Alligator mississippiensis: one gene and its partner. The protein of the gene in region 1 interacts with the protein of each later gene in a pairwise test. Links are inferred from orthologs where the notes say so. Each region holds a gene or a part of one and is shown on either strand. Other genes may lie near its edges.

Region 1 (7,979 bases):
CAATTAAGTGAGCCATATCTGCTGATATTGATCTGATTGCCGATATGCAAGCCAGGCAGTGTGGAGAGCAGCATCCAACTGGTAAGTCTATTAGGGGAAGGGCAGATTGAGGCCCCCTGTGGTGAGGGAGGGAATGGGGCTGAGGCAAGGGAAGGGAAGGGGCAGGGTGCAGGACGGAGCCGTGAGCAGCTTGTCCAGGGGGTGTGGAGGCCAGCTCCCACCGCTGTGCACACCCCTGGAGGAGGCACAGGGGGCACATGCCCACCGGATCTGTGCACAGGGCAAAGGCAGGCTGAGGCCGGGGCGGTGCTGGGCTCTTCCCAGCAGGGGGGTTGGGCTGGGACTGTGTCTGGGCTGAGCGGCAGCAGCACTGGGAGAAGGAGTTACCACTGGGAAGCTATGGTGAATTTTAGGGTGACTGTAGCTGTCCTGGCTGGGCAGTACCTGCACCAGCCCCACTCCCCCCAACCCCCTTCCAACAGACTTACCAGTCAGACACTGTGCTCCAAATTGCCAGGCTGCACTCCTGGCCATATGCATACTGTGGCTGTGCACATGCATGCAGTATTTAAATCGGCAACATTAATTGGCCACATCAGTCGAAAAAAGCCGACTGTCAATTTTCCTTTTATCAGTGCCTATATGATATGAACTGATATATCAGTGCACCTCTATCAAAAATGTGTCTCATTCCCTCATCCTCACCCATTCTCCTCCAGTGATGGAACTATTTCTATCTGGATAATTGCTTCTTTCTACAGTCATTAGTTACTAAAACCCAAGACCCATTTCACCCAGTATCAGACATTGGCACTATTAAAGTTTCTCAGAGTCCTGCAGAATACCTCCATATATCTGAATGAATATTATGGTCAGCTAGTGCAAATCTCCTGTATAAGCAAACAAATCGCAGACCCCACCCAATGATTCTTTCAGACGTATGTATGTATTCTAACTCCAGCAAACATCCTCTTTCTGAAAGATTCAGAGTACTAAGGGCACTGCTTTTCCAACACTTTGGAGTCTGCTGTTGAAAAGAGAGGGGGAAAAAATTATACTCTACCCTCCCACACTCCCTCTACATAAGCCGATCCTGGAAACAAGTATCCCCTGACCGAGCTGCCTCATTTCTCTCGGTTGTGCTTATATGAAAAGGGAGAAAATGCGCAGGACAGGATCTTCAATGGCAGACTTGAGAGCACTGAAGAGCAGACGTATCCTACAGAGACCTTAATTGATTAATATAGATCTTAAGTGATGGATAGAGATCTCAATCTCATCTACAGTCTAGGCAAGTCACTGGAGCTTATTTTGCTTTTGCTAGGTTAAGGAAAGACCCATTACCATTACAATCTTATCTTGCCAGGTAGAAACTTACAGGCCATGAGTCAGTCACTGCCAGATTGTACTTGCACACCATCATGGGGACAGTCTCCACAGAAAGGATTCTGGGACATTGGCTGCTTCATGCAGACACTTGGATTAATTACCTGCAGCGGTCCCGTTCTCCCATATACCCAAGCAGCTCCTTTCCCTACACGTTCTACTTAGATCAAAGCTTCTCTCTATTCACAGCAGCTGCCTTTGCCTGTCCTAAATGTTACTTAACGTGATCTTTCCCGTCTGTTCAGCCACCACCCTATTTGTCAGAGGAAAGTTAAAAAAGAAAAATGGGGCAGCCAAGGGACAGCTTTCCCCAATAACTTGCAATACAGCTGCTTGCTGTTTTGCCCCCTTGTCCAGTTCTACTGGTACTCAATTCCGAGCTGCAGCTCCCCTGAACACACAATCCAGTTCAGGCAGGTCTGCTATCCATGCATATAAACGGACAAAAAGGTTGTGTCAGCAGCAGAGGCCCGATCCTAAATCATCGTGCTGCCCTGCTATTAGCAGCAATATTCAGGAAGCCCAGCGGAAGTGTAGAGGAAGGCATCACCAAAGCCCCAGGCAAAGGCTACCTTCCCACCCGCAATGTCTTCTCCACACACCTGGAACACAAACTGCTGTCTGTCCTGCTGGCCACAGATGCATCTCATACACAGAAGCAACCCAGTTTAAGGAAGGCGCTCACATTTGTGAACAAACCAATCCTCAAGTACAATAAAACCTTGGACTTGAAACCTTGCAAACACCTGAACTTCGCAAGCCGGTCTCCACGCTCCCCCATGCTCGCACGGGGAGGAGGTCCCCCGTGCCCTCCTAGTTACTTTTTTCCTTCCACGAAGGGAAGGGCATCTCAGCTTTAAGTCAGGCAAGGGCGACACACCATCCAGTAACCTATTTCGCGATTTAACTCTCGGCTCTGCATGCAGTCACCCGCTTCCTCCAAGTGCAAAGCAGCACAGGGGAAGTGCCCCTACAAAGGCGAAGTGAAAGGATCAGCTGGAAGCAGCGCCACATTCACTTCACCCCCCACTTTTCGCGGGTCACTCCTGCAAAAAATAAATAGCTTCGCTGGCAAAAGAGAAGAAAGTCTCGACAACAGCCACAAACCCTTCCGCGCACCCGCTGCAGGCCAGCGCCCGGCCCGCGGAGGGGAGGGGGCCAGGCAGGCCCGGAGTCACGCTGCCACGCGTGTGGGAGCGGGTCAGGCGCGGGGGGCTCCGGGACAGAAAGGAGGAGCCGCTTCCCGGGCCCGAGCTCGCCTCACGGGATGCGGGGCCGGGCGGGGGGGGCTCACCTCCGCTCCGCGCCGACGCCTCAGAGCCCCCGCCCGCGGGGACCAGCTCCTGTCCGCCGCGGCTCGACTCGGCTCGGCTCCCTGCCCGGGCCCGCGTCTGCGCTGCGAGGGGAGGGAAGGGGAGGATGTGGCCGGGTGGGGAGCGGAGCAGCCCGATCACTTCCTCGCAGGCGGCGAGAAGGCCTCGCCCAGCCCGCGCTGTTTGCCCATAAAAGGAGCGCGAGGCTGCGCGGGCAGCTGAGCTCACTCACCGGGGAATGTGGCAATGAGGTAACGGGGCGGGCGGGGGGCGCGGAGAAGCCGTAGCTGGCTGGCGGCGGTCATCCCTCCAGGCTGCGCCCCCAGCCCCGCCCTCGACTCCTCCCGAGGAGAAGGAGGCGCCCTCCCGTCCGCTCTTCTCTTCTTCTCTTCTCTTCTCTTCAGGGCCTGGAAACTGAACGTCTTGTAGCCTCTCTTCTTTCCTTGCCCAGCCCCAGATGCTGTGTTTTACCAGAGCCGCCCCATTGTGACTCGCCCTGCATATGCCCATCCGTTCCTGGGTCAGTCACTGCTTCTCTCTCCTCCCCCTTGATCCCATGCCTGCTTTTCCCTTGTATCCGCCTAGTCCTCAATGCTTCCCCTCTGCCACTCCTGCTGGCTGGCGACTTCGTAGGCCGTGGAACGGGGTGGGCTACCTGGGCCTGGCACGGCCAACTTGTATCACGTTAATTTTTATCCGTGGCGACGCATTGGGAGTGCATGTGCACCCCCTGAGAGCGCTGCTGCACCCCCTGACAGGCTGTGCTCCCCGCTTAAGCGATGGGCAGGCGGGAGCGCCAGTGCCCACCCTGCAAGCACTAGTGGGAGAGCAGGAGCACTCGCTGTAGCGCCGTGGCTGCTTCTGGGAGCCCTGCAGCTACTTCCCGGTCAGTGAGTTTTGCCATGGGGGGACTCCTCCCCCCCCAGTCCACAAGATTGCCTGCAGGGGAACCCCTGGTTGTGGGGGGGGGCACGTGCCCCCTCCCCCCCCAGCTAAGGTGACACCAGTCGCCCATGACTTATATAACCCACAGATGCACAATTGTCATTCCAATTAAAACTGTATAGCTATTTTTTTAACTGCGTAGCTAGCTAAATTAACATGCTAAAAGTTGGTCGGGCCATGGCCCGGGTGGCACTCCTCAGTCCGCAGCCTATGGGTGACTTTTCTAGCCACCAACGCAGCAACTTTACAGTTCTCCTGAGTCATGTCCCATCTATCCTTTTCCCCCGCCCCCTCCATGTATGAGCCAGCTGCAAGAGCATCTGACTCAGACTTTCCCAGTCCTCTCAATGTTTGTTGGTTGTTTGTTTGTTTTTTTAAACAACCCACAGCCAAGCCCACAATACTGCAAGTAAGGTATTCCTGTTGTACTCTATATGAGACATGACTCAACTATTTCAAACCTCAGCCCCCAGTAAGATCACTTTGTTTCTTGAAATGATGCTAATGCCACCTGATTTTCTATTTCAGACCTGACATCTACTGATGCTTCTCAGTCCCGATGCATAGTCACACAGAGTAAGATTCCTCCTGCTTTGCCAGTCCTATGTGACAATCTTGATCTGCAGAATCCTAAATCCACTCAAAGTGTTCCCTATTATTTTGCTGGCCAGCGGCACTCCACAGTATTTGACCCAAAAGATCTTGCCCCTACATCAAGGACCTCACAACTTAAATACCAGATCTTTGGTTTTCTTTCTTTTCTTTAAGCCACTCTTATCAAAGCACAACCTCCCTCAGTAAATTCTCTCCAAGGAATTTGAGGGAAAGTGCCAAGGGAAACTCCTTTGTTTTGCATAATCATCAGACTTTGCCCTCAGAATCTGGCCTTGATACTTGCTACTGGCTAATGGTTCTATTGTTGCCAGATTCCTAAGAAATAACTTACTAATTGTTATGCCTAGATGACTTCATTGTCCATCTGTGCTAGGGTTATTAGCCAACAGTGTAACTGCTCCAAAGTATGCTCATCATAGATCTACCTCAGTTAAGGCACACTGCTGATTGTGCCAGTTGAGACAGCAGTTTACACTAACATAGTGTGCCTGCATTAGACATTTTGTAGTGACACAGAGCACACAGGTTGGGCTGATGCAAAACAAAAGTGGAATGTTAATTTGGAGTCTACTGTTTTGAAGAGGATAGTGAGGGAGTAAGAAGTATAACTATAATAGTGAAGATAAGTCAGAACATCGAGTTCCAAATAGAAGTTGTAGAGAAGTAGGCCTGGAAGGGACCTTAAGAGGTCATCCAGTCCAGCCCCCTGCCTGAGGCAGAAAAGGTGTTGTGTCTTAAACAGATATCAGACCAGCAACCTTGGCATTATTAGCACCATGCACTAACCAGCTGAGTTAATCGGCCGCTTGCTGAGCTAATCCATTGCTCAGTGCGAACAGTTGCAGGCAGCTGTGCAAGGACATTTATAAATGTTTCTACACTAATGCCAGAAGCCTAAAAAATAAGATGGGTGAACTATAATACCTAGTATTAAATGGTAGCTGACATAATAGGCATCCCAGAGACTTGGAGGAAGGATGATAATCAGTGGGATACTGTTCTAACAGGTTACAAACTATATAGAAATAACAGAGTAAGACATGCAGGTGGATGAGTGGCAATATATGTTAAGGATAATATAGCTAGTAAGAGCGTACAAATCTTACCTGAAAGGAAAACAACTATAGAATACCTGTGGGTAGAAATCCAATAATTGAATACAAAGTATTTAGTACTTGGATTGTACTACCAACCACCTGATCAGGTTTAAATAATTATGAAATGCTTAGGGAGATTAAAGAGACTGCTAAAATAGGACTAGCGATAATAATGGGAGGCTTCAACTATCCTCACATAGACTGGGTAAACACCTCATCAGGACATGACGTGGATATACAATTTTTGGATGTGATAAATGACTGCTTTCTACAACAACTCATCTTGGAACCCACAAGAGGAGATGCAAGTCTAGACCTAATCCTGAGTAACACACAGGGCCTAGTTCAAGAGGTATTTGTTGGTTAGCCATGCTGTAAAAGCAATCATAACATAATCGTGTTCAACATTCTAGCAGGAAGGAGTAAGCCAAAGAAGTCCACCACACCAATATACAACTTTAGGAAGGGAAATTACACAAAAATGAGGAAGTTAGAAATTTAAAGGAGCAGTCAAAAATGTAAAAAGCTTGCAGGAAGCTTGAAAGGTATTTAAAAATACCGTATTAGAGGCTCAGGAAAAGTGTGTACCACAAATCAGAAAGGGTAACATGCACACCAATAAAACCTCTGCATGCTTTAATAGCAGAGTCAAGGAAGCCATTCGAGGCAAACGGGCATCCTTTAAAGAATAGAAAACATGCCCAAGTAAGGAAAACAGGAAAGATCACAAGCCCTGGCAGATCAAGTATAAAAGCAAAATAAGGAAGGCCAAAAAAGAATTTGAGGAACATCTAGCAAAAATGTTAAAGTTCATCATAATAACTTTTTCAAATACATCAGAAGCAGGAAGCCAGCTAGATAATTGGTGGGACTATTAGATGACCAAGGTGTAAAAGGTGCACTCAGATAATAAAGCCATAGGAGAGAAGCTAAAAAAAATTGTTGCGTTGATGTTTGCTGCAGAAGATACTGTGGAAATTTCCATGCCAGATCAGTGCCTTCTAATCATTGAGCCTAAAGAGCTGGACCACACTGAAATAACAACAGAGGAAGTTTTAGAATAAATCCAATGAAATACTAATAAGTCATGAGGACCGGATGGCATTCACCCCAGAGTTCTGAAGGAACTCAAGGGTGAAATTTCAGAATGGCTGGCAATAACCTATCAGTAACTTATCATAACAAAACAGACTCTGTGCCAGAGGACTGGTGGGTTGCCAACAAAATGCCCATTTTCAAAAAGGGCTTCAGAGGTGACCTGGGAACTTACAGACCAGTGAGTCTCACTTTCATCCCTGACAAGTTGGTAGAATCAATAATAAATAAATTCAGCAGTCATATGAATGAATAAGATCTGCTAGGGAAGAGCCAGCACTGTTTTTGTAAAGAGAAATCCTGCTTCACAAATCTGGTGCAGGGTGTTAACAAGCACGTGGTCAAGGGAGATCCAGTTGACATAATATATTTGGACTTTCACAAAACTTTCAACAAAGGCTTTTAAAAAAACTGCATTGTGACAGGATTGAAGGGAAGGTTCTTTTGCAGACTGAGAGCAAGAAACAAAGGGTAGAGCTAAACAGTTACTTTTCAGGATGGAGGGAGGTTGAGAATGGGATCCCGCAGGGATCTGTGCTGGACCCAGTATTGTTCAACATTTTCATCAATGACTTGGAAATTCGGATGCAGAGTGAAATCTCCAAGTTTGCAGATGATAAATTATTCTGGGTGGTCAAGTCCCAAACTGATCAAGAGGAGCTGCAGAAACATCTTACCAAGCAGACTGAGTGGGCAAAAAAATGGCAGATTAATTTTGAAAGGAAAATACACCTAGGGAAAAACAGCTTCAACTATACCTACATAATACTGGGTTCTGACCTAGCTCAATGTGCAGTGGCAACCAAAAAAAGCCAATGAAGTTTTGGGCATCGTTAAGGGAATTGAAAACAAAATGTTATCATGCCGTTATGCAAATCCATGGTGTGCCCACATCTTGAATACTGTGTGTAGTTTTGGTCTCCATATCTCAAAAAGAATGAAGTAGAATTAGTAGGGGTGCACTGATAAAGATTTTTTGGCCAGTACCGATGGTCGATTATTAACTAGCCATAATGGCTGGTACTGATCCGATTGCTGATATGCAGCCTGGCAGCTTGAAGAGCAGTGTCTGGCTGGTAAGTGTGTGGGGGGTAAGGGGCATGGGGGATGGAGGAGGCATGGGGAGAACAGATTGAGGCCCCCCCCCATGATGAGGGAGGGGCTGGGGCTGGGGCTGGGGCAGACACTGCCCAGGCGGGGCAAGGAACAGGACGGAGCCATGGGTGGCTCATTCAGGGAGGGGGGGAAATGTTTCTCCGTGCTGTGCACACTGCAAGGGAGGCATGGGGGGCATATGCTCATCGTATTTGTGCACAGGATGATGGCGGGCTGCCCACTTTGGGCTCTTCCCAGTGGTGGGAGTGGGGAGAGGGGGCTGGACCAGGTTGTGCTCAGGAAAGATGGGGGAGGGGTAGGTGGCAGCGGTGCTGGGAGGGGGGGGTTACAGAATGGGCTACAGCCACCCCAAAATTCATCATAGCCCCCGCTCACAGCATCACCGCCACCCACCCTGCCCCTGTATGCCCTG
Region 2 (7,341 bases), on another chromosome or scaffold:
GCAGATTTAAGTTATTGCATTAAAAAATAAATGTCGCACTTCACTGGCCTAGCTAGAATAGCTTTGCTTTCTGTTAATATTTCTATTGCCTTTAGGAATGAACAATATTAACCCACGTAGTTAAGTGTGAAGTTCTTATTCTCTCAGGATTATGACTTGCATTCCTCTTCTGGTTTGAACAAAGATCAAGCTATCTCCAGGCTGCTGAAAATTTTACAAAACTTCTTTGTAAGGGTTGCCAACTTCAAGAGCTTGCAATACCCTCCCTTTTTGCTCACTGAAGGATCAGAGAGAGTATTTCCGCTCAGTTTTGTGTCAGGAATGTAATGCTATAAACAACTTTGCCTCACAGCATGTGTTTCCTCCTGCATGAGATTCCAACAGCCTTTTCCAGAAAGTCTGAAGATGTTAGTCACAAACAGTATCAGAGGGAGCAAAGTAGTTAAAAACAGCTTTAACTCCTTGAGAGTCCCCCTATTTTTCATCTTTGAGTCCAGCTAAAAAAAGAAAGCAAGTTTTAAAGACGGGCAGAGGACTGAAAAGGATTTGTCCTCCACGGTCCTTAGCTGTTGGTATGTTCGCCGCTGCCAGTCAACCCTGAATTAAGGAGCTGGAGTTCCAGTTCCACCGCAGGGGTGCCAGCTCTCTGTAGACCTGCAACGTGTGTGCGTGTGAAACATGTTGCATGTTGTAATGCACACAAGGAAGGCAGGAGACAGTGGCAGTTAAGGATGTTTCTTCTGTGACCTTGGGCATAGCAGTTGAAGGGCTGGATCCCCACTGGCATTTAGGCAGGATCTGGGCCTTAGTGCTTTGAAGTATCAGTTACCCCTCTGGAAACTGGGTCATTCCCAAGCCCTGGGTGTTGCCAGTGGTCATGTAAGCGCCTTAGGGCAAAGCTTCCCAAGAGCGCACAGCATTCATCCTCAAACCTCACACAGGAAAAGTTACCGTCCAACTCTGCAGACACCGGTCCCACAGACACAGAGTGCTCAGAAAACCGCCTGCACTACTGTAAACAGTCCCCATCCTCCCAGGAGAGTAACAGGAAACACCGCGCCTAACACTAACAGATACATTCCGACTAACACTGCACAAACAGGATTCATCTAAAAAAAACAAAACTGCTCCAGCCACACAGGGCAATTTGCTACTTTAAGGGATCATGAGCCAATGTCCACCAAAAAAAACCTACAAGTCTCCCACTGCCCAGTGCAACTGCTTGGAGATGTGATCAGACAAGGGACAAGAAAGCAGCTCCCCAGCCCCCACGGGTCCTCCCCACTAGAGCCTCCTTCGTGGTCAGATAAATTGTGAGCTTAGCCAGGACCAGGAGGAGGTTGATCAGGAGGTCCCAGGACTTGGTGGGGCCGCAGATGGGAAGCGTGCAAATAAAAAGGTGCAGGGAGCAGCGTGGCCAGAACTGTAGTAGGAGGCTCTGAAGGAGGCGGTAAAGGGGCTGCAGCTGGGCACATCCCACGCAGACATAGGTCAGGGTCTCCCTCTGGTTGCAGAAGAGGCAGATGTTCGGGACATCTGTGACACATGCCAGGTATACATACACCTGTGGCGACAGCTCAGTGGAGGAGCCGCCAGCTGAGGCTCACAGGAACACAGCAAAACGTCTGTCCGCAAGGGACCTTTGTCCTCACTGAACACGTCCCGCTACTCAGTGTCTGGACGGGACCCAGGGATGGGGTGGTAGAGAGTAGACCATAAACATGCAGAGCTGGTGGCGACACGCAGCCTGGAAGCAGACCTGCTGGGTATCCCCCAGCTTGCTGACACGGTGCGGTGGGGAGTGCCATGGGGCCTGCTGAGACAGGGGCCCCACGATGCGCTCTGGGGAGCTGGGGGATGCCCGATGTAGGCGAGGGCAGCAAGCCGCCCCACTCAGTTCCTTCAGCTGGAAAACAGCAGCAGGGCTGGAGAAGGCAGGTGCGACTGCGCCTTTAAAGAAACCAAAAGGCTTTTCCCTGAAACGCAATTTGTTTCTTTTTATTAAATAGGAGAAAGGGCGGAGGGAGGGGGTCTGGGTACTGCTGAGGATGACAGTTAATGCAACCGGGTCCAAGGATTTCTGAGAACAGGCCCGTCCGTGAAGGCTGATGACAGCAGAAGGGGACGCCCTGCCCTGGCAGCAGCTGCAGGCTGTATCGGCAGGTGCAGCCTGACTGGGGAGGGCGCAGACACCAGTCCTTGCCAGCTGGCCAGGACGCAGGGCGTCGCTGGAGGAGGGCGTTTCTAAGCCGCTGCCCCCGGAGCCTGGGGTCCCGTCCTGGCGGCGCATCCGGCCCTAGGCGGGCACGTCGAAGTCGTCGCGCTCCTGGTTGTAGTCGAGCAGGTGGCGGCGCAGGCGGGAGCCGGGCGCCCAGGTGATGAAGTCCTCGAGCGCGCGGGGCACGAGGAAGGCGGGGTCGGTGACGGCTTCGGGCCCCACGCGCACGTGGCCCTGCTCCACGAAGGCGACGGCGGCGCGCAGGTTGGGCGCCATGCGCAGGCGGAGCAGCACGCAGGGCAGGCGGCGGCGGCAGAAGGACGAGGCCGTGACCCGGTCGCACTGCTCCAGCGAGCGCGCCGAGCTCACCAGCCCCAGCGCCTGCAGCTTGCCCAGCAGCGCCGCGGTGCAGCGCGCGCGGAAGGCGGCGTGGGCCGGCGCGGAGCCCAGGTCGCGGAGGCGGCGCGCCAGGGTGCGCACGGCGCGGCTCAGCTGGTTGTAGCGCGTGTAGTCCTCGCGGCGCGGGAGCCGGTAGCGCCGCAGCACGCGCAGCTCCGCCGTGCCGCCGCCCGCCGCCTCCCAGCTCACCAGGTCCAGCCGCTTCAGCAGCTTCTGCTCGTGGAACTTGAGCTTGCGGACCATCCTGCTGCTGCTGCTGCTCTACGTCCGAGTCCGAGTCCGAGTGCTCCCGCCGCCGCTGCCAGCCACGTGGCTGTGCCCAGCGCTTCCAGTTCCGGGTGCGGGGCTGCGTTCTCATTGGCCGCTCCCCTTTGTGACGTCACTGTGCGGTCGAGCGTTCCGTTCCGCATTGTTCGGCCCCGTTCTGTGACGTAGGGTTCGCTCTCCGCCCCTTGCAGGCGCCTCCCCCGCAGGTTCTCTGCAACCTGCGCGAGATGTGCTCGGGGCTTCCCCCTGCTCGGATGGCGGAGGGCTTCTGGGGCAGGGTGTCTCGACCCTGGGCTGACATTGCACGCTGCCGCGGCTGCCCTGCTGCAGGCTGGGGTGCTTGGTTTTGTGGGCTTTTTTTTTAGGCTAAGACCAAAGTGTATTTCCTCTCTCTCTCATTTTGCCATCATCGTTTTCTTGGCTGGGGCTGCAAGCGAACTAGGCAGTAAGTCATGTCAAGCTCGGACCAGTGCCCCGGGTAGCAGCAGCATCCTGCGTTATGCTACTGCTGGTGCACACGGTGTCTAGAAAGCACCCAGCTTCCCGCAGCGCGCAGGGATTCCCAGTGTAGTGTGGGCCAGTCCAGTGTAACGACTGTCCCCTTCTTGTGCTACAGATTGCTGGCAGTCACCTACAAGTCAGTGTACTTGGTGCTCTGGGCTGCAGTTAATTAAGTCTGTGCCACAACCTATGGACAGACTTGGGAAACTATAGGCAAAATAGTATGCAGAAGCCTGACTTGTTATCCTAGGTTATCCCAAAGCAGCATTAAGTTGCCTGATCTCAGTGGTTTGTGCCTCACAGGAGACAGAATCTAGTTCTCAGGACTGTAATGGCCGGTCCGAAAGGCATTACGCCTGTGTGAAAAACGTGTTTTCAGGTCGGCTCCTGGGCAATCAGGAATTCCTGTCGCCAGGAGCCAGCCAGTATAATTGACTGACTTGGGACAGACTGCAGAAAGCAAGCTCTGAAGGACTTAGGGAACTGAACTATACTTTCAAGTCATCTCCTAATTTTGACCCCACCCTTGAAAAGGCAACACGAATAAGCAGACCTGGATACTAGCTACTCACATGCTTTTGTGTTATTTTCTTTAACAAAGGTCATGACATTGGGAAAGCAAGAGGAACATTAATAGAAGAACCCTTCAAATTTTCCTTTACTTTTGCATTCTGGACTGACAGAAGGAGATCTGGAGAAACAAAATTAGTAGGTAAGAATGGGTTTCAGTGTGCTCAGCTATTTCATTTTCATTCTTCAGTGGGCTCAGCTATATTTCATCTGCAGGAAGTAAAACAAAAGAAGTAGGATTTTATGCCATTTCTATGTCCCAGCTCTGCCTTTACGGGACCTCCTCATCCCTGCAAATGCCTGCCTAAGAGCAGCTGCAGGGCCAGGCCTCACATGCCTGGGTTCTCTTCAGCACAGAGTGTGACACTGTTCTGGGGATGATGCCGGCTGGACTCAAGCACAGGAGCAGAGGTCAGGAATGCTGATCTGCATTCCCATCCCTGCCAGAGTCTGTGGAGCTTCAGACAGATCACTCCTGTGCCTTGCCTTCCCCACAAGCAAAACAGAGATGAGTCTCCTGTGTGGTTACTTGTGTCATCACTGACAGCTAGGAGAAGTGGAAGTTAGTATTTTATACCTACTTCACTTCCTTCTGTGGAGGAAGAAATGATTAGACTGGGACCAGAACCATAAAGAATCCAACAAGAAGGATTTGTCAGAGTGGTAGCCTGACATTCAGTTTATCAGAGTCTGGAAAGCATTTTGAGATCTAGAATGCAAGTCATGACAGCACGGCGTGCTTGACTTGGCCCACCCTTAAAATAACTATGGAGATGTGTGTCACACGCAGACACATAGATTCTATATACCTCCTGGTCACTCAAAACGTGATCTGAAATGCTGATAAAGTTCTAGCCTACATTAGGCAAGCCACTAGCAAGCTTGCGGTTTGTATGTGGTCACAGGTACGTGTGAGCACTTGGCCTTATCTGCAGTGTTGAGGAAGTTGTAAATACTCCAGAGCTTAAAAAAACAGGCCAATTTTGTTATGTCTTTTCCTCCATCCAGTTGCATACATCCAACAGGGAAAGTGCTTCATGTCCTAACACTAACTTGAGACTGTTTTTAAGCAGTTGAAGTGCTGAGGTTTGTGACATAGCTACTGACCACAGGTTACATATTTATTAGGGGTTTATGATACATACTCTGCTTCTGAATTAAAATAAAGCAATTCATCTTTTAATACTTCATATACTGTATGTATATGTGTGTATACATACATACATATATATGTCTAATATATAGATAGATATAGATATATCTAGATAGCTATAAAAAACGTTACTCCATGTCAAAGCAAAGGTGGAAAGAAAATAGGATAGTTCTTCAATGGGATCTCAGTGCAACTAGCAAGGGAGGTTGGGGAGCAGAAGGAAGGGATTCAGAGATCATCTAGAGGTGGAAGCTGTGGAGAGAATATATCAGGAGCTGAAAGGTGGGGCAGCAAAGGGATCAGAATGAGGCATCGGCTGAAAGACAGGCAGAAGGAGATGGGGGCTAAGCTGGGATGGGGCTGTGCAGGGGAGGCTAATAGAGTCCCCAGTTTCATAGAATCATAAATTGTACGTGTGTGCATGCACATGTATGTACATGGGATTAAAGTGACATGTCTCCCCAGCTGTGTGACACAAAGAGCTGCACTAAACGTGACAGCTGTGTGAGGGGATGGTGTTGTGCTGCCAGAAGGGGAGCCCTCCAAAATGCTCCTCTCAGGCTTTGAACAAAGATGGAACTCCTACATCCAAAGGCAACCTCCTGCTCCTTGTGAGACTCATATGTCAGCTCATAATCAGGGGAGGCCACATCAGTGCAAAAAGCAGCTTTAATTTATGGTTGAACCCTAAACCTCTGTAGCTCTGTCCAGAACCATCTGCTTTTTGTCTTGCATGAACCCCTGCTTGCTCCCAAAAGAGAGAGAGACTCTAGCTGTTTTCCACCATCTTAACCACTCACCTCCCCAGTGCCCTACCACTGGGTCCTGCTGCTATAGCTTATACTCTTTTGCGAATATAACCTCTGTCTGAATCTGGCCCTTTAGTTCTGTATAAAGCATTTTACCCTCTAATGTACAGACATCTTAAAACTACCAATCTGACGCTGCGTACAAGTGCTATGCAGCCCCGTGGGACAGGAAGTGAAGAATCCGGATAAAACTACAGGGAGTTGATTGAAGTGGGCAGACTGTAATTATCAAAGGAGGTTGAATTTTCCAAGGAAATCAGAGCTCACATCCTCCCCCTCAGCACATGTACAAAGCAGCTATCTCCCCCAGTCCTCAGCACTTCAGTCAATACCCTGCACTGCTGAAATTCTATGATCTGTGTTGTAGAGGAAGTCTTACTCGATGACACACAGTATGGTCCCTTCTGGCTTTACATCTGTGATTCTCATGCATGGTTCTTTGGACCCCAATTGGTAGCTTGGTCCCAAACCTTAACATCCTGAATCTTTGTTCTCCTGTTCTTTTTTCCATTGCATCAGTTTGCTGGTCTGAAAAGAAGAAAAGAATCTCCCAAGGTCTGTTGTGGTTTTTTAGGTTTGGCTGTTAAAGCGCTGAAGAAATGGGAACCAAAGGCACTGCCAAGTTTTACAGGATCCCTGAAGGGAAGGGGCCTTATTCTGTTGGCTGCACAGACCTGATGACTGATGACACCGTTCAGGTAGGACACCTATATCTGTCCTGTCCCTCCCCACTTAAATCACTAGCCCAGCACTAGTGTTAGATACTGACTACATGGAAAGGTCTGCTTATTCAGGTAGGAAGAAAATCGCTGCTGCTCAGAACTAGAACCAAGCCTGCTTAAGCAAACAGTATTTTTTTTAATGACTTAAGCAGTGGCAGAATTCACACTGGGTGGTTAGTGTAGGGCAGACAGGTAACACCTCTGGTCCAAGAATTGCTGTTAATGAGCTGATATGGTGGATGCTAGGATCAAAATGTTATATGAAACTGACAGGCAGATAAGTACCTTCCTCCAGCCTCCCAAACTTCGGGGGAGTGCAGAACTGGATCTAGATCTAAACATGAACGTTGTCGCTTAGGCCCACCTCTGAATACAGCTGAAGAGCCCAACCCCGTTATCCTATTTGAGGGAATCCTCCTACCAGCTAACAGCAAAGTAATTCACAGCAAATTCTTTGGGGCATGGCGGGAAAATGTCTATTCCTCATGGGGCAGGAAGGATAGGGAGGGATCAGAGGTTGCCACCCAGTGAAATGAATTATATGCCCTACCCCTGTTCTCAGGGAGATGCGTCAAGGAAAGACAATCCATACAGAGCCCTTATGCACCCCAGTGCCTGCCTTAAATTCCATCCTTCCTGCTATTTTGGTTCCAGGGGAACTTGCATTGAGGTCTCTATTGACTGCAGCATTTTCCCACCCCA

The links.
Region 2: the proteins of ZYX (region 1) and IMP3 interact in binary tests that used the Homo sapiens proteins (3 or more experiments, as listed by UniProt). The link is inferred for Alligator mississippiensis from reciprocal best matches to the Homo sapiens genes ZYX and IMP3.

Annotation. Positions count from the first base shown.
Region 1 is NC_081827.1:154,143,961-154,151,939, reverse strand, and holds the start of ZYX (zyxin), read right to left. Parts: upstream 3,019-7,979; 5' UTR 2,932-3,018; intron 2,803-2,931; exon of another isoform or gene 2,681-2,802; intron 1-2,680. UniProt on the Homo sapiens protein: Adhesion plaque protein. Binds alpha-actinin and the CRP protein. Important for targeting TES and ENA/VASP family members to focal adhesions and for the formation of actin-rich structures.
Region 2 is NC_081824.1:13,427,312-13,434,652, reverse strand, and holds the start of IMP3 (U3 small nucleolar ribonucleoprotein protein IMP3), read right to left. Parts: upstream 3,020-7,341; 5' UTR 2,861-3,019; coding exon 2,297-2,860; 3' UTR 1-2,296. Other genes in the region: PLA2G7 (platelet-activating factor acetylhydrolase), read left to right, coding at 6,517-6,615. UniProt on the Homo sapiens protein: Component of the 60-80S U3 small nucleolar ribonucleoprotein (U3 snoRNP). Required for the early cleavages during pre-18S ribosomal RNA processing. Part of the small subunit (SSU) processome, first precursor of the small eukaryotic ribosomal subunit.